3 linked regions of the Arabidopsis thaliana genome follow. The protein of the gene in region 3 binds, or shares a complex with, the protein of the main gene of each other region. Each region holds a gene or a part of one and is shown on either strand. Other genes may lie near its edges.

What was found.
Region 1: PDE312 (region 3) and PTAC14 share a complex: the UniProt entries of both Arabidopsis thaliana proteins name them as parts of the transcriptionally active chromosome (TAC) complex.
Region 2: PDE312 (region 3) and PTAC7 share a complex: the UniProt entries of both Arabidopsis thaliana proteins name them as parts of the transcriptionally active chromosome (TAC) complex.

Annotation. Positions count from the first base shown.
Region 1 is NC_003075.7:10,875,356-10,883,383, reverse strand, and holds PTAC14 (plastid transcriptionally active 14), read right to left. Parts: upstream 4,568-8,028; 5' UTR 4,471-4,567; coding exon 4,414-4,470; intron 4,359-4,413; exon of another isoform or gene 4,298-4,358; coding exon 4,142-4,297; intron 3,729-4,141; coding exon 3,591-3,728; intron 3,544-3,590; exon of another isoform or gene 3,509-3,543; coding exon 3,383-3,508; intron 3,299-3,382; coding exon 3,170-3,298; intron 3,070-3,169; coding exon 2,980-3,069; intron 2,892-2,979; coding exon 2,741-2,891; intron 2,635-2,740; coding exon 2,525-2,634; intron 2,450-2,524; coding exon 2,378-2,449; intron 2,285-2,377; coding exon 2,179-2,284; intron 2,095-2,178; coding exon 1,900-2,094; intron 1,809-1,899; coding exon 1,687-1,808; 3' UTR 1,332-1,686; downstream 1-1,331. Other genes in the region: VSR7 (VACUOLAR SORTING RECEPTOR 7), read right to left, coding at 4,839-4,943, 5,041-5,144, 5,230-5,358, 5,457-5,520, 5,612-5,694, 5,785-5,866, 6,024-6,184, 6,269-6,338 and 3 more. UniProt on the Arabidopsis thaliana protein: Essential for chloroplast development, especially for thylakoid formation. Involved in plastid gene expression, probably by maintaining plastid-encoded RNA polymerase (PEP) activity.
Region 2 is NC_003076.8:8,274,720-8,280,714, reverse strand, and holds PTAC7 (plastid transcriptionally active7), read right to left. Parts: upstream 3,016-5,995; 5' UTR 2,966-3,015; coding exon 2,924-2,965; intron 2,843-2,923; coding exon 2,795-2,842; intron 2,717-2,794; coding exon 2,633-2,716; intron 1,952-2,632; coding exon 1,616-1,951; 3' UTR 1,521-1,615; downstream 1-1,520. Other genes in the region: AT5G24316 (proline-rich family protein), read left to right, coding at 780-855, 965-1,005, 1,103-1,210, 1,290-1,442; AT5G24313 (uncharacterized protein), read left to right, coding at 3,364-3,609; ABIL3 (ABL interactor-like protein 3), read right to left, coding at 4,390-4,566, 4,647-4,774, 4,858-4,952, 5,027-5,069, 5,148-5,240, 5,344-5,443, 5,553-5,703, 5,783-5,865 and 1 more. UniProt on the Arabidopsis thaliana protein: Essential for chloroplast development, especially for thylakoid formation. Involved in plastid gene expression, probably by maintaining plastid-encoded RNA polymerase (PEP) activity.
Region 3 is NC_003074.8:17,959,383-17,967,252, reverse strand, and holds PDE312 (Nucleic acid-binding, OB-fold-like protein), read right to left. Parts: upstream 5,091-7,870; 5' UTR 5,045-5,090; coding exon 4,316-5,044; intron 4,225-4,315; coding exon 4,165-4,224; intron 4,071-4,164; coding exon 4,041-4,070; intron 3,963-4,040; coding exon 3,889-3,962; intron 3,749-3,888; coding exon 3,506-3,748; intron 3,385-3,505; coding exon 3,318-3,384; intron 3,233-3,317; coding exon 3,140-3,232; intron 3,027-3,139; coding exon 2,850-3,026; intron 2,773-2,849; coding exon 2,722-2,772; intron 2,485-2,721; coding exon 2,333-2,484; intron 2,263-2,332; coding exon 1,845-2,262; 3' UTR 1,640-1,844; downstream 1-1,639. Other genes in the region: AT3G48490 (uncharacterized protein), read right to left, coding at 5,453-5,721, 5,822-5,915.

The sequences.
Region 1 (8,028 bases), on a different chromosome or scaffold from region 3:
CTCTGAATGTATAGAGTGTCAACTCTACACGATTCCTTAATTTTTCTTTTTAGTGTCTTTGTGATACGCAATCATTTGATTTATCAATTTCGTGAGAAGTTAGAGTTCTTTGTTCTCCTATTTCTTTTCGACAAGTTTAGTTGTTTAATTTTATCAAAAAGAAAAGAAAAGTTTAGTTGTTTATTAGTAATAGACCTTTTATTAGTTATATAAAGGAAAAGTAACAATAATGAATAATAGAAAATAAAATGGTGATGCATGGCTTTGACCTTGGACAAGGAGAAAAGAGTGGTTGAGAAAATGACTTGGTTGAAGTATATATTTTTGGCTTTGGTTATGTCACAAAGTGTGTTAGCTTCTCATCACTTCAACCTTTTCACGACAAGGAGAGCAGTTGTGGTATGATCGTACATTAACATGGCATCATATGATTATGCCCTATATTTTATTACCAAGTCAAACATAATTCTTATTAAAATTTGCAAACATAATTTTTTCATCCATCTTTTTCTTTATTACCCAAATAAGTTCGGTGATACTTTCCCAATTTATATGTTCATCGAAGTAAAGAATCAACTCGTGAGTTTTGAATAATTTCGTGTGTTTTTTGCCTTCAAAAATTGAGGTTAATAATAGATATAATATGTTGTTGTCGATTCGGAATCTAGCTTGAATTTAATCACACCTATCTAATTATAGGAAAAAAGGAATAATACATCGAATAATATTGTCATTTTCATAAATTGTTATTATTATATAAATTTTGGTTGACTGTAATAACGCTAGATCGAATCAAGTTTACGTACAACAACTTGTTCGATAATTGATAATCTATAATTAAAAATGTTAATATTCTACTGAACGAGATTCTAAATCCAAAAGAATGAGACAAAGGAATTATCTTCGATCCACCAAAAAGATCAAGATGCTTATTTTTTTTTATTTTTTTTTGTCTATTGTTTGGTTGATTTATACTTTAATTAATCTTAAATTCAAAGGAATAATTTCATTATGCATGGCAAGAATTATGAAACGCATAGTGGTCTTACTTCAAAAATAAAATATTCAACATATTGAAGATAATTATTAAGAATCAAGTTAGTCAATGTAAAGTATCAAATAAGTAGCCAAAGGTAAGAAATAGATTGCTTATGGTTCTGTATAACTCAGAGTAGGTTTGTTTGGTTTGGACCGTAACTTTTTTTGAAAATAGTAATGTTAGACAAAGAGTAGAAGAAACGCAATATGATTTGATTGATTAGTGTAACCACAAGGTTAATAAATAGTATAAGTAATAATCAATTATTGAGACTAATCAACATTATAGTTCGGCGTAAGAGACACAATTACCCTAAAACATTTGAGACACTAATCATGCTTAGGGACTAAAAACATGAACATGAATTAATCAAAAGAGAAAAAAAAAACACAGATGATTCCAAAGCGTTTGTTGGCTAATCAAACTCATTAAAGCAGCCAAGAAAAGAAGAGGTTATGATTTGTTTGTGATTGCGATTAAAACAAACTAACACACTTAGTCTAACTGTTCCATACAAATACATAACCTTACACTAAACAAAAAAAAAAACAGGAACCTTTCAATTACATGGTGCAGTTTCTAAGTAGCTCAAGGGAGTGAGCACCAAGTATGAATCTCACTCAGCTCATAATTATTTTTTGCTTGAATCAATAGAGTAACCGTTCTTGATAGATGTCAAGTGCCTTGATAATTTTTCCGATGAACATCTTTCTGTGCATTCTATACTTAACCGCTGTTGCAAATGTTGTCCTTGCTTCTGACATTGAATCTGTCACAACAACAAGAGGGAAAGCTTAAGTTTTAGTATATGAGCGATAATAGATAATAACACATTGGTGTATATATCTTTAGTGTAATACCTAGCAACTTCTGGTCTTGCTCTGCTGTTGTGGGATATTCCGCAAGCATCTTTCGACATTCATCTTGCAATTCTTTAACTGCTTTTCTTTCCGCACTCGGTATTGGAGGAAGATCTATGTCTGACCAAGTAGGTAATGTTCTTGCTGCAGCGATAACTGCTCCATCAACAAAAGTATCGCCCCTCGATAACTCGCCTGCCACAGATTTAGGTAACATTGGTGCTCATTTCTCCATCTTTTGTCAAGGAATAGAGAGGAAACAGAAGAAAAGGAACTTACTGTCATGGTAATATTCTTCAGGAAGACCATAAATATTGAAGACCGATAAAAAGGAATTTAAATGGATGCGAGAATCTCCAGAGAACTTTATAGCATCCCACGGATTCTGCAGCAGACCAGAAAAACTGAATAAACGAGAAAACTTGCAAAGGAAACATAGTTTGTGTAAGATGAATGTGATTGTCGTAAAAAGCATTACCACAGGAGTTGAGAAGCCGTATCTTTCCATAAGCATGTTGTTTTTCTGGCCTGGCATGTAATTAATCGTCATCTGTGAAAAGCATTATAAGAAGATAGATAAAGCAGTGAAGTGAGGCTGACACTTAGGAACATTTGAGTCTCTTACCTCTTCGCCTTTCTTAATGTCTTGACCAGCATTTGACATAACCTCCAGCATGCGATCTTTAGGACGCCAATGTAGGAAACAGTTTGGTTCAAATGAGTGGTTTAGCATGTCTGCAGAGAATGATCAATCGTGAGATTCTTATTTAGTTCCTCAACAAAAAGTTCATTGATACTAAATCTTAATTTATCAATAACTACACAACATGCTCTTCCTTACCAGCATAAGGAATCATCATATTTAATTCCTGAACCAAAGCACCGACCCTAGTTTGCATACTGATGCATCGTGTCTGTGCCATACTAACCGCCCATATGAATCTTTCTGGATCCTCGGCAAGCCTTTTGATTTTGAGAGGAACACCTGAATGCTGAGACGGAATACAATTTGCCAATGAAAAACAAAGCAATAACCAAATGTCAAGATATACTGGAAACACATATATAAGGCCTCATTACCCAATTCTTTTCCCAAAAATCTAGGATTCGTTTCTGTTGTTGTCTGATAGTTGAAACAAGATCAGGATCTTGAAGCTCCGCAAGGTCTTCCTATAGAAAAACACACAGAATTAGATATCATCAAGCATTAGTTTAAAGACACAAGTAAATGTGACCAGTTTCAAATGGCAATCATATCAATTCAATCCACCTCTGTAGCTAAAAGCAAGCTGCTGCACTCATCAGCAGCCGGCAGGAAATCGCCATAGAGCCGCCAGAAGTGATCATCTCGATCAAAAGAGAATAACAGAAGACACGCTAATCTGATATCCCAATCAATCTGTAAGCACAAATGTGAAAGGACTTTGAGAAAGATAAGAACTTTCGAGTTGATGATATCGAAATAGCACAAATGTGTTACTACCTCAGGATCAGTCGAGTTAATGATATCGAAAATAGGATGACCAATTGGTACAATATCAGGGAAAAACATCCAAGGGTGCTTCTGTCTAATGGTTATCATCAGTTCAAGAGGAATCTCCATAATCACCTGCAGAGAGAAAAGAAAACAAAATAATCTAAAGAGAAGAACAAAACAAAAAGTTGTCAACTTTTTAACTAAGAAGACTGACTCTAGCTCGACGGCGAGGTTCGATATCCTTAGAAGCATAGACACCAAAACCATCTGGACCTTCTTTAAACTCAACTCCATAAGCTCTCACACTTCGAACATAGCCAATTTTGTAGAAATCCGGATCTGCTGTCTCCAGCTAGTGAAGAAACAAAAGACAAAAACCCTAAATCAATCTCACATATGAGGGAAATGCACAGAATTGTCTAAAGTTACTGCCGTTAGAACTCATTTGTACCCTACATCAATCTCACAGATGAGGGCAATGCACAAGATTGTCTAAAGTTTCTGCCTTAAGAAGTCCCCTATATCAATCTCACAGATGGAGGCAATGCACAGAATTGTCTAAAGTTACTGCCTTAAGAACTCATATGTACCCTAAATCAATATCACATATGGGGGCAATGAACAGAATTGTCTAAAGGTACTACCTTTAGAACTCATTTGTACTCTAAATCAATCTCCCAGATAGGGGCAATGCAAAGAATTGTCAAAGGTACTGCCTTTTAGAACTCTATAAACCCTAAAACACTCAAAACTGAAAATCCTAACCTCGGACGAGGAAGATTCTTCGGAAGCAGGAGATTGAAACAGAGGGAAAGGTTGTGTCTCAATAGACGCAACTTTGATGGGTCGTACACCATTTTGTCTGTCTCTTAATAAATTGCTTCTGGGTCTTGGTGCTGACACAATTCCGTTGCAGAAACCCTTTGTCCGACCGGAAAAAACATGAGGAGTACTCAGAAAATTCAGACAAAGACAGACACACACACACACACATGACATAGAAACATTAGGTGATACAGAGAGATAAGATTAAGAACCTGAGGTTTGGAGATAAAGGTGTTGGTCAGGAACTGAAGAGAGACTGAAGAAGCCATTCCTCAACAGAAGAAAATGGGTTTAGCAGAGGGAGACGAAGATCGTTATCCTTTGTTTTCAAGATTTTAACTCTTAGTTTACGATATAATTTATTTGGAATAATATGTTGCAAGAAGCTTTCATAGCTCAGTTGGTTAGAGCACCCGTTTAGTAAGCGGGAGGTCTTGAGTTCAACTCTCAATGAAAGCAATATTTGTTTTATTTTCTTCAAAAGTCTCTTTACATCCAAATTATTTATTTTTTTGCCATGAAAATATACACAACTCTATCTCACTCTTTTATTTTTACAGTATAATTCATATGTACATTAATTGATCTCAAACATTTCTTTGTGTATGACAGTTTTGGTTACTTTGGTCATATACTATTAGAGTGTAAAAGGCTCGGCTTCTGATGGAACTTCACGAGCTCTTTGGCTCTCAAGTGGCATATACTGTGACATGATCGTCATAATCTCTGAGTCCATGTAAGACTGTTAATAGGAACACCAAAGAAAAGTTAGTTTGGTAATCCTAAAACCGTTATTAAGTACAAAAATGCTTTTGTGGAATCAGAAAGAGTAGTAGTACCCTGAACCGGTATTTGTAGAATATATAACCAGCTAAACCGGCTACTGCAACGATAGCCAGTATCAAGAATGTGAGCCACCATGCCGTTTTGGATCCATATCTCTCTGTAACAAACAATCATCAATGTATATTAATTAGATACTGTTATGGAATTTGAGTACTCTTAAATCTTGATTGATAAAATTTTACCTATACAAGTATCTTGATCGTTTATGTAAAGCCGGTCACCAGAACAGCTGCATTTGTATCCACCCCATGAGTTCTTGCATCTGCAACCGCTACATTGACATACCGAACGCTCTTTACATTCGTTAATATCTGCAATAGAGCCAAATCAGAAAACATAATTACATTGTTGGTAATATGATTATGTGGTTTCTTTCGAGATTTTAATCGATAAGTTAAGAGTTATGTACCTTCACACGTCAAACCGTCGCCTTGGAAACCTTCAGGACATTTGCAGCCAGTAGATACAGAGTCCTAATTTTTCATAAATAACAAAGAGATGATTGAACTGAAAACAAGAACTTTGTAAGGGAGGGTTTGGCTTATGACAAGAGAATCACTAAACTGAGCAAGCAGAGAAAGTTAAGCCGTTCCTTGTGTCAGACCAGCAACCTCCATTGTTCATAGTACACCTCGCAGGCCCATAAGCTGCAAAGCTCAATCACAAACCAGAGACTATTCAAGAAACCGGTCTCAACATTTGAGAGCTATGTTGTGTGAAATGTGTGAACAACTTACGTGTACATGAAGTGTACCCGTCTCCTTTATATTGAACACCTTTTACAACCGGACACTCGCAGAGTCTTCCTCTGAATGTGTCCTGATCAAACAAAAAAGATTCAAGTATTATAGGACTAGAAAATATCTCTCTAGATTTTCACATTTTCTCTAGTTTTCAAAACAATTCCAAACAAATTGATACTGATATTCAATATAGTGGTGAGATGTGATGTGGTAAGCTCGGTTTTACGACATACTTGACAAGCAGTGATGTTTGCTTTTGTATCCTGCCAGCAACCACCATTGTTTTCAAGGCACTCATTTGTCTCTAGACCTGTGTTTAAGCAAATGGCAGGCTCCGATGTTTCATTAAAACCAGCGCATATCGCCTTTAAAACCGCGGTTCTCTCCAATCTCCCTTCACAATTGCAACCAATAACAACAGAAACTTCAGCATCTTCATAAAGAGAGAGTGAAACTGAAAAAATATCAAGTACCAAACCTCGATATTGAGCGTTATTGATGACTAATGTTGGCAATATCGTAACATCTCCCCGGTTTCCTCGGCCAATCTTGAAATAGTTACAGTTAGTAACCAAACCTCTGAAATGTTTCTTCAAAACTCTAAATAAAGATAGATTAAGAAACTAACCTGAGATACTTGCTCAGTTCTCAGAACTTGGTTCTCTGTATCAGCCTCAGGATCACCAATGCATTTCTTGATCTTCTCAATAGGTAAATCTGAAAAAAGTCTTAAAGATTCATAACCTAAACAAAGAAGACTCTCTTTCTTTAAAATCTAAAAAGGAAAAGAAAAAAGATTCTTACTCAGAGATTTGATGACACTCTCAGCACAATCTATGCTGTATTTCTTCTCCTTCATCGAACATCGAGAATGAAAATCGGTAACATAATCCCACCAAACCCAAGGCCTGCTACTCTCATTCGCAACTCTATGCACACAAAGCTGTCTCAGATTCTCAAGCACAACATCTTTCCCTTCATACCCTTCTCTGAAATTATCCTCAGGGTCAGGAGCACAATACCTCCCATGGTTTATACACTGAGACTTACAATGTGGACTGTTTATAAACTGAAAAGGGCAAAACCAAGTAATATAATGCGGCGTAAACGCGGTATAACCGCCTTTTTCGAGTATCTGAGCATGACCTTTAAAGTTCTTGACAAAGTCCATCTGTTCATCACACCGTGCACCACACTCATCATTGCTATTAGTCCACAGCTCATATTCTACTCTCTTATCAGGATGAGGCACAGACTCTCTCCAATCTAGTTTTATAACTATGTTTTTCCCTTTCTGAAACCCTTGTCTTAAGTCATCTCCAAATGATTTATCGATTAACACCGATGGGATTGTTAGCTTCTCTATGAAACCATCCGCATCTTTGCTCTCCTCTGGTGAATCCATTGTCAACAATGGCTCGTCTACATTATCCGCCACAAGAACTGCAGCCGCGCCTGCTTGCTGCGCGTGCCACGCTTTTAAGGCAAAGTAGCAACCTAAAAACATCCAATAATGGAGCAAAGATTACTTGAGAGATTAAACTTTTAATCTTTCTTTGTAAAAAAAATATATCTTTCTGCTCAAAATGTATTTTTGCAGCATAACCCATAAAGTCCTATTGGCTAATAACATAGCAGACTAAAGTTTAAATCTTTGAACTCAAACAAAACAACAGTAAATGGACAAAACAGAGGTTTTAACTTTTAAAGATGTTTTTAACTTTTTTACCTCCACGATCAAGAAGCAGAATAGTGGGACGAGGAAACTTGGGCTTGAAGGTTTTACCAAAAGCAGAGCATCCATCGGTTTTACTATCCGGATAAACCACTGACCCGATTAAAAACCCACCGTAATCGGGTAAACCGAAATTGGCTATCGAGCCGTCGTGCTTCGACCTCATCTCCTCTGGATTCAGCACGCTTATGCTTTCTTTCTCCACCACAAACCTAGCCTCGACGACCATAGCGATGATGGTCAACGCCGCGAGGAGAAAGGTCAACGAAGCTCTCCCGTTGACTAAACCCATCTCTGAAGAATCCACCAAGAAGAGTTTGATCGATGATAACCTTTCTGGTACTATTTCCCGGGGAAATGAAGGAGAGATTCAGAGAGAAAAATCAAAAACAGAGGAAAAGTTAAAACAGAAAACTTCTGTGGAACTGTTTCTGATTGAAGATGATAGCATACTATAGTTTATATAAATAACAAAGAAACGTCAAACTCAAAACATAATTTTA
Region 2 (5,995 bases), on a different chromosome or scaffold from region 3:
AGTGTATTAATTAGGGGTAAAACAATAAAAAAATTTTTTTTCTTAATTTGTGTGAAATGAACTAAAAGGATAAGTAATATAAAACAGAGGGAAACGCGTTTTAAATTCCTTTTAATTTGGTCTCAATAGTTACAAAATATGTTTACTTGGCGTGAAAAGATTGCACCAAACCGTTTTATATCACTTATATAACAACATTCATCAGGTAGTTATGTTTGCCTTTTTTGAGTTTTAATTAAAATCGGATGAAAAAAGAAAAGTTACAAGATAACGTTTTAAAATGTTAGTCTCAATAGTTACAAGATTTAACATTAATTCTTTTTAATTTGGTCTCAGTACTTAATATTAATGGCTAGATGCCAAATGTCATTTGAACGGAATTTAATCAAAAGTTAAATAATAAAGACGAAGAAACAAATCTCATATTGTCTAAAATAAAATTTCTTAAAAATTTTTTTAAACAGAATCTATAACTTTTTATTATTATTTTAATCTTTCTAGATTTAGCTATTGAATACCCCTTCCTAAATTAAAACATATGGATTCTCTCAAGAGAGGAAACAATAATGGTATAACTTAATTATGGAGAATTCACATATTCGTTTTTGCTTTGACTATATTGATTGTCCATATTTTAGTTGATTACGGATTCATCTAGTCAATGTGATGCGTTATCTTCATAATTACGATTGACTACTATATATCTCTGTCTTCGTATATATGTGTATCTCAACTTATACTATAAAAATCAATTCACATATCACCAAAACAAAACAAAAATGAGAGAATCTGACTTAAGGATGAAGCTAGTGATACTAGTATCTTTCTTGCTCGTTCTCCCAATGTTTTCTTCAGGTATATAGATCTGATCAACTAACATATGCAAACTTATAGTAGCTTTAACATTTTATATAGGTCAATATAGAACTCCGAATTGAATAAATATGCTTCATATTTTTGTTAGGGATCGTTGAGACTTTGCATCATGACAACATCAACCGCAAGGTATTAACAATCACGGTTCTAAAAGCGTTATATATTTGATTACAAATATGCATCAAAACTAAAAACAAAAAGATATAAAACTTGTTGATTTAAAAAGGTTAAAGAGATGGTCATGAATGGAAGAAGAATCGATCTGGAGATGGACTACGCTGGGCCGCATCTAAGACCTCCCAAGCCATCCGACCCTACAATTCCAGGAACACAAGTACGTGCCCTATAGCAAAAATGAAGTATTACGAAAAGTGTCTTCCTTTTTTAATAGTGTATGAGTTTGGTTTTGAAAGGTTGATGAGGTTGTGACAAAGGAACCAACTGTCTATAACAAAGAAGACTATGGGGACTGGTCTCCAAGACCAATCCCAAAACGACCAATGCCATATGTACCTCCTCCTCCTCCTCCACCGACACGACGACCTCCTTTCACCACAAATCACTAGACCGTTACTTTTACTAAACTCTTGTCATTAGACTTTCGTCTTCATCTAGTAAATCTAAATAAATAAAATGAAATTTGGCCAAGAAAACAACAAAGCTGTGAATGCATTGATTTGGTTTTGGTAATACAAGAACAAAAGCTGTAAAGTACATTGACACTTTTTGTTATAATATATCAAGTGTAGTACTCCAACAAATAGCCAGGACCGGGTTTGTAAGGATCAGCTTCTACATAAGCCTCAGGGCGATCAAAGCCGAGATCGTTCACACGGTTGCTTAGAACATGAAAGATGGCTTTTTTGGAACCTCCATATTCGTCTCTGTTCTTGTCCACGTACTCTGTTGCTTCAGCTGCTACGCTATTGACAAATTCAAACCGATTGTCTTCCCTCAAAAGAAGCTGCTCTATGTCCATTGTCATTACCTTCCCAACTTCTCTTATCTTCCTTACTTGTTCTTCCACAAATGGAACTCTTTGCATTTTGTAACGCAACATATCGTCCTTCTTCGTCTACAGACAAAACAGGAGAACGACATAGAGAGATTAAAAGCGGGACAAATATAAACAAAGATTTTGCATTGTTCTGGCTTTGGTAATTATTGAAATCTCAAAACCTCATGAACCTGATAGGATCAAACAACAGAAACTGATAGTTTGTAGAATATAGTACAAGTAAAAAGATCACACTAATATTTTATGTAATGTGTAACTCCCACCTAAAAATCCCAGTATCTCAGATAAGACAATCTCCAATTTCTTGCATGTGCCATAGAGATAAGACCATGGTTACTTGAATATATATAAGTAAACACTAACTAGAGGTAAAAAGCCATGTTTCTTTAAGTTCATCAACAGTATAAGAACTAAAGCTAGCGTCTGAAATGAGCATAGTTCAACAAAGACACTTTTGAAACAGGTGTGTAAGCTAATTTGGAATCAAGAAGGGTAAACTAGAAATCGCAAAAACTCAGAGAAGACAATCTCCATCTCTCCTTCTATGCATCATATCAATTACTATGACTAAGTAAAGACTAACTAGAGTTAATAGTCATGCCTCATCAGTGAGTTAAAGCTAATCTGTGATCCTACTAAAAATTGCAACTTTTTAGAAATGTCGTCTCCAAGCAAAGAAAAACCCTTATTTTGATTCCTGATTCGACTTATGTCATAAACATGAAACTGGAAAATCACCAAAATATCAAGTTTAGTACTTACCAATGTTCTCCTCCGCCAAACACGGCGTCCATTATCATCTCTCTGAATCCCACAAGAAACCTGAAAAAATCAACCAGATTCACTCAAAACTCTCCCCCAAAAACCCACAAATTCGTATATATATCAACCATTCAAAACCTGAGACTGAAATGTGCATCGCAAATTCCCACTTCTCGTATCAATAATCTGAATATACAATAATTGAAAATGAGAAATCACATTGACATCAAAGGATGATTATGAGAGAAGCAAAGGAGGGATTTTTACAGGTAAAATCGAAGATGGAGAAGAACAGGTGAAGGAAGCCATTGATACACAGTGAATAGATAGAACCGGATCCTATTTTATATGTAAGCTTCTCCGGTTCGGTTTAATGGTTTATCTTTGGTTGTGTTCGTATTTGGACAAATCATTCCTAACCGAACCGGGCATTTTTTTTTCTCGTCATTTTATCTATACAATAATAATTCAACTTGCACAAAAAAAAAATCTAAAACAAATCAAAACTAACAACAAATCTAAAATCATATAATTTTACTTGGTACACAAAAATAATATTTTTCAGAAATCAATCAATCTAATAATAGTTAGTGGGAACCCTCTATTGTGACTTTGTGAGCTATGTATATACATAAGACATTACAAGATGGAACCTCAACATAGTTGATAAGCAAAGAAATTAACTCTATCGATCACCGGATGAGAAAATGGCTTCTAGGAATCATCTCTTAATATGTTGTGTTCTCTTAGCTATGATCATGATCGGGCATGCTCAAACCAACCGGAAACTTCTTGACGATAATGTACCATCATCTTATTTTCCATCGATGGAGTCTCGTCAGGTTTTTCTTCCTTCTTCTCATCGTTCACTTGTTGCTGAGCATTACGACAGATCACCACCTCCACCACCACCCAAAAGATCAGAAGTTGAACCCCAAACTGATGGTGTCTAGACCATTGAGTGATGGTGAGAATCGGCCCTGATGAAAAGACTCGTGAGTTGGTACCATGTTTTGAAAGAGCATACATATGTTTTGATGTTTGGTTTTATGATCCGGTTTATAAGAGCTACCTAATTTTTGAAGGCTTGGTTTGATTTAGTTTTCTTTGCTTTCTAAAGTAAAATCTCCGGAAAAGTTGTCTCTGTTTTTTTCTTCTTTATTTTTATCTGTATACGTGTACTTCATTCTTGGTGACAATAAATTTGACTTGTTTCAAATTAATTAATGTAATATTTGTAAATGGTAAGTTAATACAACAGAAAAGTCGATGATACTATCTTTTTGAATAGGTAGATTTACCGAACGAATACCACATTACCACGGCTTAAAAAAAAAAAAAGAAAAAAGGGAGGATTAGTCTCAAACATTCTTAATCAATTTCAAAAACTGGATAAATAAAAGCAAAAGTTTCAAAAACATAATTATTCTTGCAACAGTAATTGATGCAAAATATATATTAAACTGTCAAATAATATTTCGAGAACGAAATTGTATATATAAACTTGCTGTTAATTTGGTTAAAATCGGCAGTAAAATAATTCACAGCAAGTTTTACTACGCTTGTAAACAAAACTGCATTCACACTCTGACAGTCATAAGGTATACACAAAATCATAGAATCATGGACATATTTTGTAACACATATATTGACAATTTGACATTACGTAAATGCAATTAAAACTGGAATGTAATTTCCGGTTTACCAGTCAACATACAAAACCAGCTTTCGGTTTAATATTCGTCCAAATAAGTGTAGAGCGTATCGTCCTTCTTTGTTTTGCGTCGGCTAAGTAGCGCCTTTAGCAGCCGTTTGCTCTTGCTCGGTTGTTGTTGATGCTCTGGTTCTTTCTGAGCTTCTTTCTCGAACGCAACCCGAACCGAAGCCGATCTTCTTGGTTCTGACGGATACTGAGCCAGAAAATATCAAGAATCAACCGTTAGAGATAGAGCCTAGAAGTGAGTGTTTTTGAAATGTAACCGAAGCTTACCCGTTTAGGAGTTGGAGTTACCGCTCTACTCTTGCTCGGGGTTGTTGGCCGGCTGATTGATGACGGTCGGATAGCAACCGAACCAGATCTTAGCAGCGGAAACCGATGTGGTGATACTGCTCGCTTATCTATTTTACCATGCACACTGTTTAAAGGTTCTGTTTACATATTAAGCCAAAAACGGCAATTTCAAGGTGAAGCTGTCTTTTACCTTGTTCTTTCTTTGGTGCGGTGGCGATAGAGGAGAACGAAAAGGTTGCTGAACGTTGAGGTTTCCGTTGAGAGGGAGACTGAAGTATCGGTTTTCTGCAAAAAGCGATAAAAGTTTAGTACTTCTCGGTCATTTGACAAGGGAACTCACTATGAGTACTGGACTATACCTAACAGGTGGTGGAGGCGTTTCACGAATTGTAGCGCGAACAGCTTTAAGAATTCACAACAAGAAACATATCAAATCAAGAATCAAGGCAATTTCTAAGTAAATGAAATGGCAATTTATACCATTTCTGAATTGGTTCCAGTCATCTTCTCCATCAAAACTACCTTCAACATTCTTAAGCTTTGCGAGGTTGCCACCTCTTTTGATTTCACCAGCTGATAGAGAATTTCGTTTTTGTTAGCTGAGTCCCAAAACCGACAAATAAGAGAACGAAAGTTTGTAGAAACATATAGGGAACTTTGGAGAGTCGAAACTTACAAGGCAAGAAGTACCGCTTGTGGAACTTTGGAGTGTCGATCACAAGTGATTGCTGGGAACGACCTTCATGATCCATGTACTCTTGGCACATCCGTAGCCTCTATACACATATAAGAAAGTTCAGTAATACAAACAAGAATCATTCTCAAAAATGCCAACTGAATAAAACTAAAGCAGAAATATCTGTCCATTTGAAGAATAATGGATACCTGTTCAATGCAAGATACTCGCAGTTCGGTTCCTGCTACTTCATCGACTTTTTCATCTACAAAGTCATTTACTTTATATGTAACAGACCCCAAATGGTCAACTGTATTCACCAGAGCCTTTATTGCATAATCTTTCAGTGTCTCCACGACTCTACATACACAAGTAAAAACTTACAAAACTCCAAGAAAAGAGAACAATCACAATTAGGGAGAGGAATAAACTCACTCACATCTGTTTTTGTTCATCGTTTGTGTAGGATAGTTCGAAATACTCAGCTGCTGAATACAACTGTGTTCTCAGATTCTTCAGATCCTGTATAACAAAGATGTTTACTAAACTATTTGCAGAACATGTAAACAGAAGATTTAAGGCTTTAGCAATGATCACAAAATCCATTAAGATTATTCAACTTGATACTTTAGAATCTACCTTGAGACTATCA
Region 3 (7,870 bases):
ACCTATATTGGACGCATGTTGTGAGATTTCACGGCAAGGACGGTTGGAAATTACGGTCCGAGTGATCGTCCAAACATGCAAATTCCAAAATGGTCCAAAAAATGTGAAACATACCATCTTGATTGCTACAAAAAAGTGTGAGCGAACCGGTCTTACTTTGAGCTAGTTACTCACTTGAAGAGATATTTCAGTCGAACTCATCACATTTTGATTTTGATATTTTCTTTTCTTTTGTCGGCACTCACGTTTTGAGGAAACAAGGAATATAAGAAAGTAAACGACCCAATAAACGTGATACGTCGGAGCAAAAGAAAACAAAAAAGGAGGGTGAGGAATAAATGTTGTACTACAGCTTTGAATGTACTACAGTCTACCTGCGGTAAAAGTGCGATATCTAATGATACGTGGGACATCTATATATCATCTATGCCATAATAGAAATGCCACATGGACCAATGTTTAACTATGTGTAGCTGTGTTTTTGGAACTTAAACATCAGTTCCATTTTTTGACAAAAAAAGAAGAAGACGTCAGATTCAAAACATTCAAATCAACGGTGTGTACCAAATTCCAAATCGTTAAGTTAATGAGAAACTGATTTTACCATCTCCGGATAAGAAATAGCGCTACAAGACTAAAATCAAAGACATTGTATGATACTATAATCGAGTTTTTAAGGGTCAAATGAATAGTGTTTAGCCGGGGACTTTTCTTTTATAAATTGTTTTTTAGAATCTTTTTGAATTTATTTTTCGTTATATATAATCAAATTAATCAAAACATAAATAAATTAAGAGTTTTAAATAGCAATACAAGTCTACCTACATTGGACATAAATTGTATAATAATTTAGTTAAGAATTTTAAGGAGACTTTTCTTTTGTAAATTGTTTGTTAGAATCTTTTAGTATTACTTAATCTTCCGTTACTATTGTTAATGACCTAACTGATCAGAAGCGGAGTACTGAGACGTTGCAAACACCATCCTTAAACCGTAAACAATATGTATGAAGATTGTTTTTGGTTGTATAAAATAAAACAAGTCAACGGACGATTTAAACAGAATAATAAAATTGGGCCGAAGCTTATTAGCCTTTTAAGGCCCACAAAGAAGAGCGAAAACCCTTAACGAGCATATACAACTCGGAGCACCTCTTTTCTCTCGCTCTCTTCCTCTTCAAGGTTTATATTTATAACTTCTTTTGCTGCTCTCAACGAACTCTTCCAGGCTAATAAACCGTCTCTGTTTTCATCTTCTCCGTAGCTGAGATAGCTCCATACCCTCTCCGACCCAAGTAAACTGATTTTCCATGTTATGGAGATTTGGTTCTCTAACTTATTGCTTTAGAGTTTTGATGTCATTGTACAAGTTTAATGCTATTATTTTTGTGAATTAGGTACAACCTTGCAGAGTAGCTTTGGTAAGAGTTTGCCTTAAGAGTTTTGTCATCAAAGAGCACACATGGTGTGAAGTTTTTGGTATACACGGAGAGATGACAAGGGTTTTTGATATTCCAGGTACGAACGAGAAAGCCTTTTGATAGAAGTTGATGTTTTGGAGCCCAAACAGAAGAAACAAGAGAAACATTTAGGCGTATTTTGCGGTGTCAAGACTACCTTCTCTGACGACGATTGATAGAAAAAACAAAAAACGTCACGTTCCTAACGTTCAACGGTGTACTACAAGATCCCAAACGTCTGGCTAAGTTAATAAGAAACTGATTTTACTATCTCCGGGATAAGAAGAAATGAAAAAAAAAAACTATCAAATAGATCAAACCTAACAGACAAAAATTCAAATAAATCAACCTCGACAATTTCTTATTTTTACTTTCCTTTTAAACATCAGTCTGTCAAGACTTGAGTACCGTTAACAAGAGGTTGCTGTTCCGAGTAACCGATACTGCTCTCATCACTCAGAATGCTATAGTCAAAATCGTCAAAATCATCGTCATCCTCTTCTTCTTCCTCTGACTCTGTTTCTTCTTCTTGACTCGCCAAGGTAGACCCTTCTTTTCTTTTCTCTATTGTCTGCTTAATCGCATCATCGTAAGACATGTCATACCACACATTGCCTTTCCCAACAATGGATTTGTTGTGTGCATCCTTCATTCTCTCTTGCTTGCTAATCTCTGAGTTCTTTGGCTCTCCCCAGTAGTCATACTGATATAATGCACTTGTTGGATCGTACTGGTCTTTCCCAAAGAAGCTTCCTGGCTTGTACCTCCCTGGTTCCTCCAATGGTAAACCAAGTGCTTGCCGACTGCAAAATAAATCTTCTTCATCTAAACACTTTCTTTGAAAAACATCAAAGTGAACTTTTTTTTACTTACGAGCTGATATCTCTGAGCAATGCTTCTCTTTCCTCCAAAGATCGGCGCCAGTGTAAGAAATCATACTCGTCCATCTCTATATTTCGTCTGAGCTTGTCAATTTTGTATCCTTCTCCTCTTGCTTTAGCTTCCATCATTAGTTTATTGTGGTGCTGCACAAGACAACAGGAGAGTATTGAGTTATTAACCACTATCAGTATAAAAGATTCATACAACAATGTGTCAATTACAAAGTGCAAAGCCTTAAAATGGAACTGTGACGACAATCGGAGTTACCAAGACAGTGTGAAGTGGAAATCTATTAAAAATAAACAAATACAAACGAGAATATTTCCGTAGCAGTGGGTTAAAGGAAATTGGTGACGACAAGTAGGGAAGAGAATTTAAACCTGGCGCTCGGTCAATGCAGCCTCTAAGTCAAGTTCCTTGACACTGGTTTTCTGCCAGAAATAGAACACATTTAATCACAAAGCTTAAGACAGTATGGTTTCACGAACACACCAGAAGAAACTCTCACCAGAATCACTTTTGGCAATTTGGTTTTCTTATAATAAGCTTCGCCATACTCGATATCCTTTTGTTCATCAAAGTCTTCATCATCAGATAATTCTGATAGCTTTTTGCCTTCGTATTTTGCAGGGTTAGCTTCGTAATCACCCAAAATCATTTGCTCAGCTACATGTATCTGCCACAACTGCAAACGGGAAAGAAATGTGTTGACGGTTTCACAAAATTTAGAAAGCCAATAAACCTAATGAGTAAACAAAGCAAAAATCACATAACCAACCCTTTTGCTCAGGAAAATACCTTGTCGACATAAGGGTGATCAGAGAGCAGCCCTTCCTCCTCTGGCTTTGATCCTGGATCTTTTCTAGGTTCAGGAGGTCTTCCACAATCTCGCTGTACAAACAATGTATTAGATAAGAGGGAGACTCTTCACGAGAACACGAAATGGATTGATATTCTAGGAAAGGATTCTACTGACCCGTATCTCATCTGGATTAGTATCCCCATCACGATGGAATATTGGTGGGAAGTCAAATTTATTAAATCTGGAGCAGGAATGTAAAAACAGTCAACACATATACCATAACCAAGACCATTGAGGACAGAACCAAAATGCCAATTTTTACTGGATATGTAAAGAGAATTAAATACGTGTGAATTACATACATCATGTGATCTATGTTAGGATGGACGAAGCGCAACTCCAAGGGAAACCGAAACCGGTATGGATCTCTTTTTGCCTGAAAGAACAAAAGAAAAAGGAGAATGAAGCAATTTCCATTCAGATTTTTATAAATGCGAAAGAAGAATATGTGCCTTAAGATTACCGTGATTTCAACGATAACATGCATCCCAACTTTTATGAAATGCCGGATCCAAAACCAGTCATTACCTTTTATAGGTACCCATCTGCAAACCAATAGACACATAAACTTACATCTTTCAAAAAAAGCATATGAAACAAGAGACAACATTATATTACGTTATATACCCTAAATACAAGAACCACGGTAAGTCTATCTTTACAAAGTAAAGAGACATAAACATACCCTTCATGAACACCTCCAATGTCAACAAACGCTCCCTGATACAGATGTAAAGTGGTAACTGTGCCTTCACAAACCTGCATGGACATTACGATATTGCTCATTTAAACCAATCATTAGTTACAATATACAAGGCTTAGAATAAGAATTCTTACCATCCCTGGATAGTAAAAGGGAAGCTCATACTGCACAAAGAAAAATAAAGCAATTAACTTACAAACAGTTCATCATCTAGCAAACTAATCAAACAATCAAATCCAGTAGCATAATAATATTTACCATCCCATCTTCGTAATCCTTCCCTCTTTTCCTCCTACCCGGATAAAAATCCTGATCGAGCTGTATAAATAAAAACATCATCTTTATTAGAATCCTTCTCTTAGCCACCACTAAGCTAACAATATCTCATTGTTCAAAAAAAAAAACGAACCTTGTAAGATTCTTCCTCCAACCTATCTTTATTATCTTCAACCCATTCCTTGTATTGTTTCAAGAAAACCTTAAACCTCTCCAAACACATCTTATCAACAGTAGCATCTTCACCAACTCTCAAATCCTTATCCAAATCCTCAAGCCAAACTCTTTCAGCCATTAACTTATGAGCTTCCCTAATAAACTCCAGCTCCTTCCTATCAACTTCCCAACCTCTGGGAGGCCAATCACGCGGCGGAATTTGCCTAAGAACCATCGGACCAGCCCAAGATGTTTCTAAAGGAGGTGGTTTATCACCTCTAATCTCAAATTGCTTTGCATACCATTCGTCTTCTGTTATCCCCATCTCCTTAATCTTCTTCTTCCTATACGATGGTCTCAGCATCTTAAACGCTTCGATCGCTTCCGGCGATTGAAGCGGAACTTCTTCACCTTCGTTGAGAGATTTACGAGCGAAATCAGCTTCTGGTGTGAGAATCTCTTCCCATGGAGCCCAACCACGTTCGATCCAGTTACGTCGTCGAGCTTCATCTTCTGTGTCTTTGTCCTTTGGTCCGAATTTCTCGAGGAAGGTTTCGTCGACTGGGAATTCATCGGAGCTGAATCCACGACAAGGCAGCAAGGATATGCGACGAGGCGGTGACCATTGAAGAGCTTTGGGTTTGCAGAAATTAGGGTTTGTGGGATTAGGGAAAGTGAAATTGAGCTTGGTTTGGCAAATCTGCATGATTCATTCGTCACTCTTCAGGGTTTTTGAAGGTTTAAGAGAGAGTGAAGAAGTTGAGTATGGATAAGCTTTATTTCATTTTACAGTGAAGAAGAAATGTTAAGTTTTTTTTGATGAACCCTTATATTTATCCAATATATTGTTTTGACCCCAAATGTTTTTGATTGATCAGTTAGACCCATTTTAATATAAGGTTTAGACGTTTAGTTATGGATGAACCCCTACATGACCAGTACTATCAACACCGTTGGTTAAAGATCATAAAGCTTGTTTAGGCTAAAGTAATAAACACATGATTGAGAGATGTTTTGATACAGGCATCTATATAGACTCCTTACTAACAATGTAGTTAAATTGTACATAATCAAAGTACAACACACATGAACTTGGGATACATTTGTTTACAAATCATTCCTGAGTCTCTGTCTTCATGTTTCGTGCTTGAGCTTGATTCTTGTACTTGCTAAACATGGATAGTACTGATGGGTTCTTGCTCTTTATCTGTTTCGAGCTTTCACACGAGTCTATAGCCATTGCATCATGAGTGTCTCCTAATTGTGTATCCGAAGACAAGACATGAGACGATGATGTTGATGACAGATTCTCTTCACCTTCTGTTTCTGATGAAGTAGTGTCCTGTCTTGTTGACCCTTGCTTAAGTTTCAACAGTGTTGACTCTACAATGCCATCAAAAGAAACCAAGGATTTCAAAACCTAGAGATTTCTATTGGACAATCAGAATCACATGAAAATGGAAAGAGTGTGTATTTATTATACCGTAGACGGAGAGAGGATCGTCTTTGATGATCTTCGCCGGATATCTCTCCAGACAATCCGGCGGCGACGGCGGTGGTCTCAGCCTCCCAAACATACGTCTCTCTCTCTCTCTCTCGAGTCAATTAGATCTGATCGTCTTCTTTGAATTGACAATCTGAAAGATGACAACATATAATCGATTCTTTGTGTTTTGGCGCCTCGATCGATAAAAAAGAGCGGGAACCTGAGACCAACAACGGCCCAAATAAATGCTGTTATAATGGGCCCTTCGCTCTTATTATGATTTTATCATTAATCACGTTTTTCATTATTATAAACCAAAAAAACTTTTTATATAAAATAACTAAAATAGATAAAATTTCCATCAAATCTAGTATTAATAGAGAAAATATATTAAACGTAAATATTGTTTAGGATATTAACTTTTTATTTATGAACTTGTTTTAGGATAATTGATTATTTCAGAAAATTACAATACTAAATAGCATGAAAAGATATAATTTGATCAAATCTCTTACTGTTTATTATGTACACATATATTAAATTTATAATCTACTTTTTTTTTACATACCATTATGTTACGTAGATTTATCAGCAAAAGCTAGATATTATTGAGAAATAAATTTATGTGAAATTCAGTATTTAAATACACCTTAGTAAATCCCAATAACACATATGAATAAGAATATGTTTCTTCACAGATGATCTATGGACAATTATACTTGCACAATTACCACTAAAAATGATCACGACTTCTAAACTGGTTTGTAAGCAGTGGAAATCTATTATCGAGTCTCCACATTTTCGTGTCATGTTCATGTCTCTGCACCATTCTTCTTCATGGTCGCTCATGTGTAGGCGTTACAAGATAGAACTTGTGGCTCATCATAGATGCAACACTTGGGGATTTAATCGTACCAGTACTCTTACATCTCGTCTTTTATGACCGATAAATTCGAAATGAACATATACCGAGAAGCCAAAGTTGTTCCTTACAACACCGATATGGGGTTTATTTTGATCGATGTCGAGTCTATCCTCAGGATCAATCGTTATACCTAGCTAATCCAATTTCACATCAATGCTTAGAAATCAATCGTCGTGCTCTCGAGCATAATTTTTTCTGTCCCTTGGGAATAGTAACACAAACTAAAAACGGCGTCGTTTTGAGTTACAAAGTTGTTATGTTTGATGAAAGGCAAAAAAGATCCATAATAACGAAAATAAGTTTTCAGTCCAGATATATTCGTCCGAGACACGGTTGTCGAGTCTCAACACTATCCATTTTCTTTTCTCTTTTTCGTTCAATCGTGATTTTTACCATCCCATTAGCTTAAACGAAAATCTTCATTGGCTCGTTCGCAATAGTGAGGATACAGAAGTTGTTATATCCATCGACTTTTACGCTTTTGAAACAAATTCTGATAAGTGTCGGGTTACTCATTTCCCTGATTTAGAAAAGCATCGCGAATTCATAAGAACATGCACAACTAGTCAAGGATTTCTCATGTATATGAACATAGTCTCTGATGAAGGTTTAGATGCTAAGTTATGTGTATGGAGGCTAAAGAGTGGAGAATGGCAATTAGTATCTGAGATCTCCCCGACTTTTATTGAAACTCCTTTCGATTATTTACCGCTAACGATTGACCCTTTTGATGCTAATATAGCATACTTTTGGAGTTCGAAACACCAAACTTTGCTATTTATTAACTTACTCAATGGAAATTTTGTGATCCACAGTGAATTAGAATATACCAAGCAGAATAGCATTATAAGTTCCTGTAACAGTCCGATACTTATGAGAGTACTCACCCAACATATACGATGTTGCTTGCTCGTTCTCCCACAATGGATGTATCGGATCCCCGACCCATGATGACAACATGAGTTTAGATATGTAATATTTACAATACTTGACTTGTTTATTTTTATCATTATTACTGTTACTTTCTTATGAAAAGAGGAAGAAGATGTAGCTTGGTTTACTTTTGAGTGTTAAGAAAATGTTTATAGGGCAAAACAAAATATACCTAATAAATTTAAAAA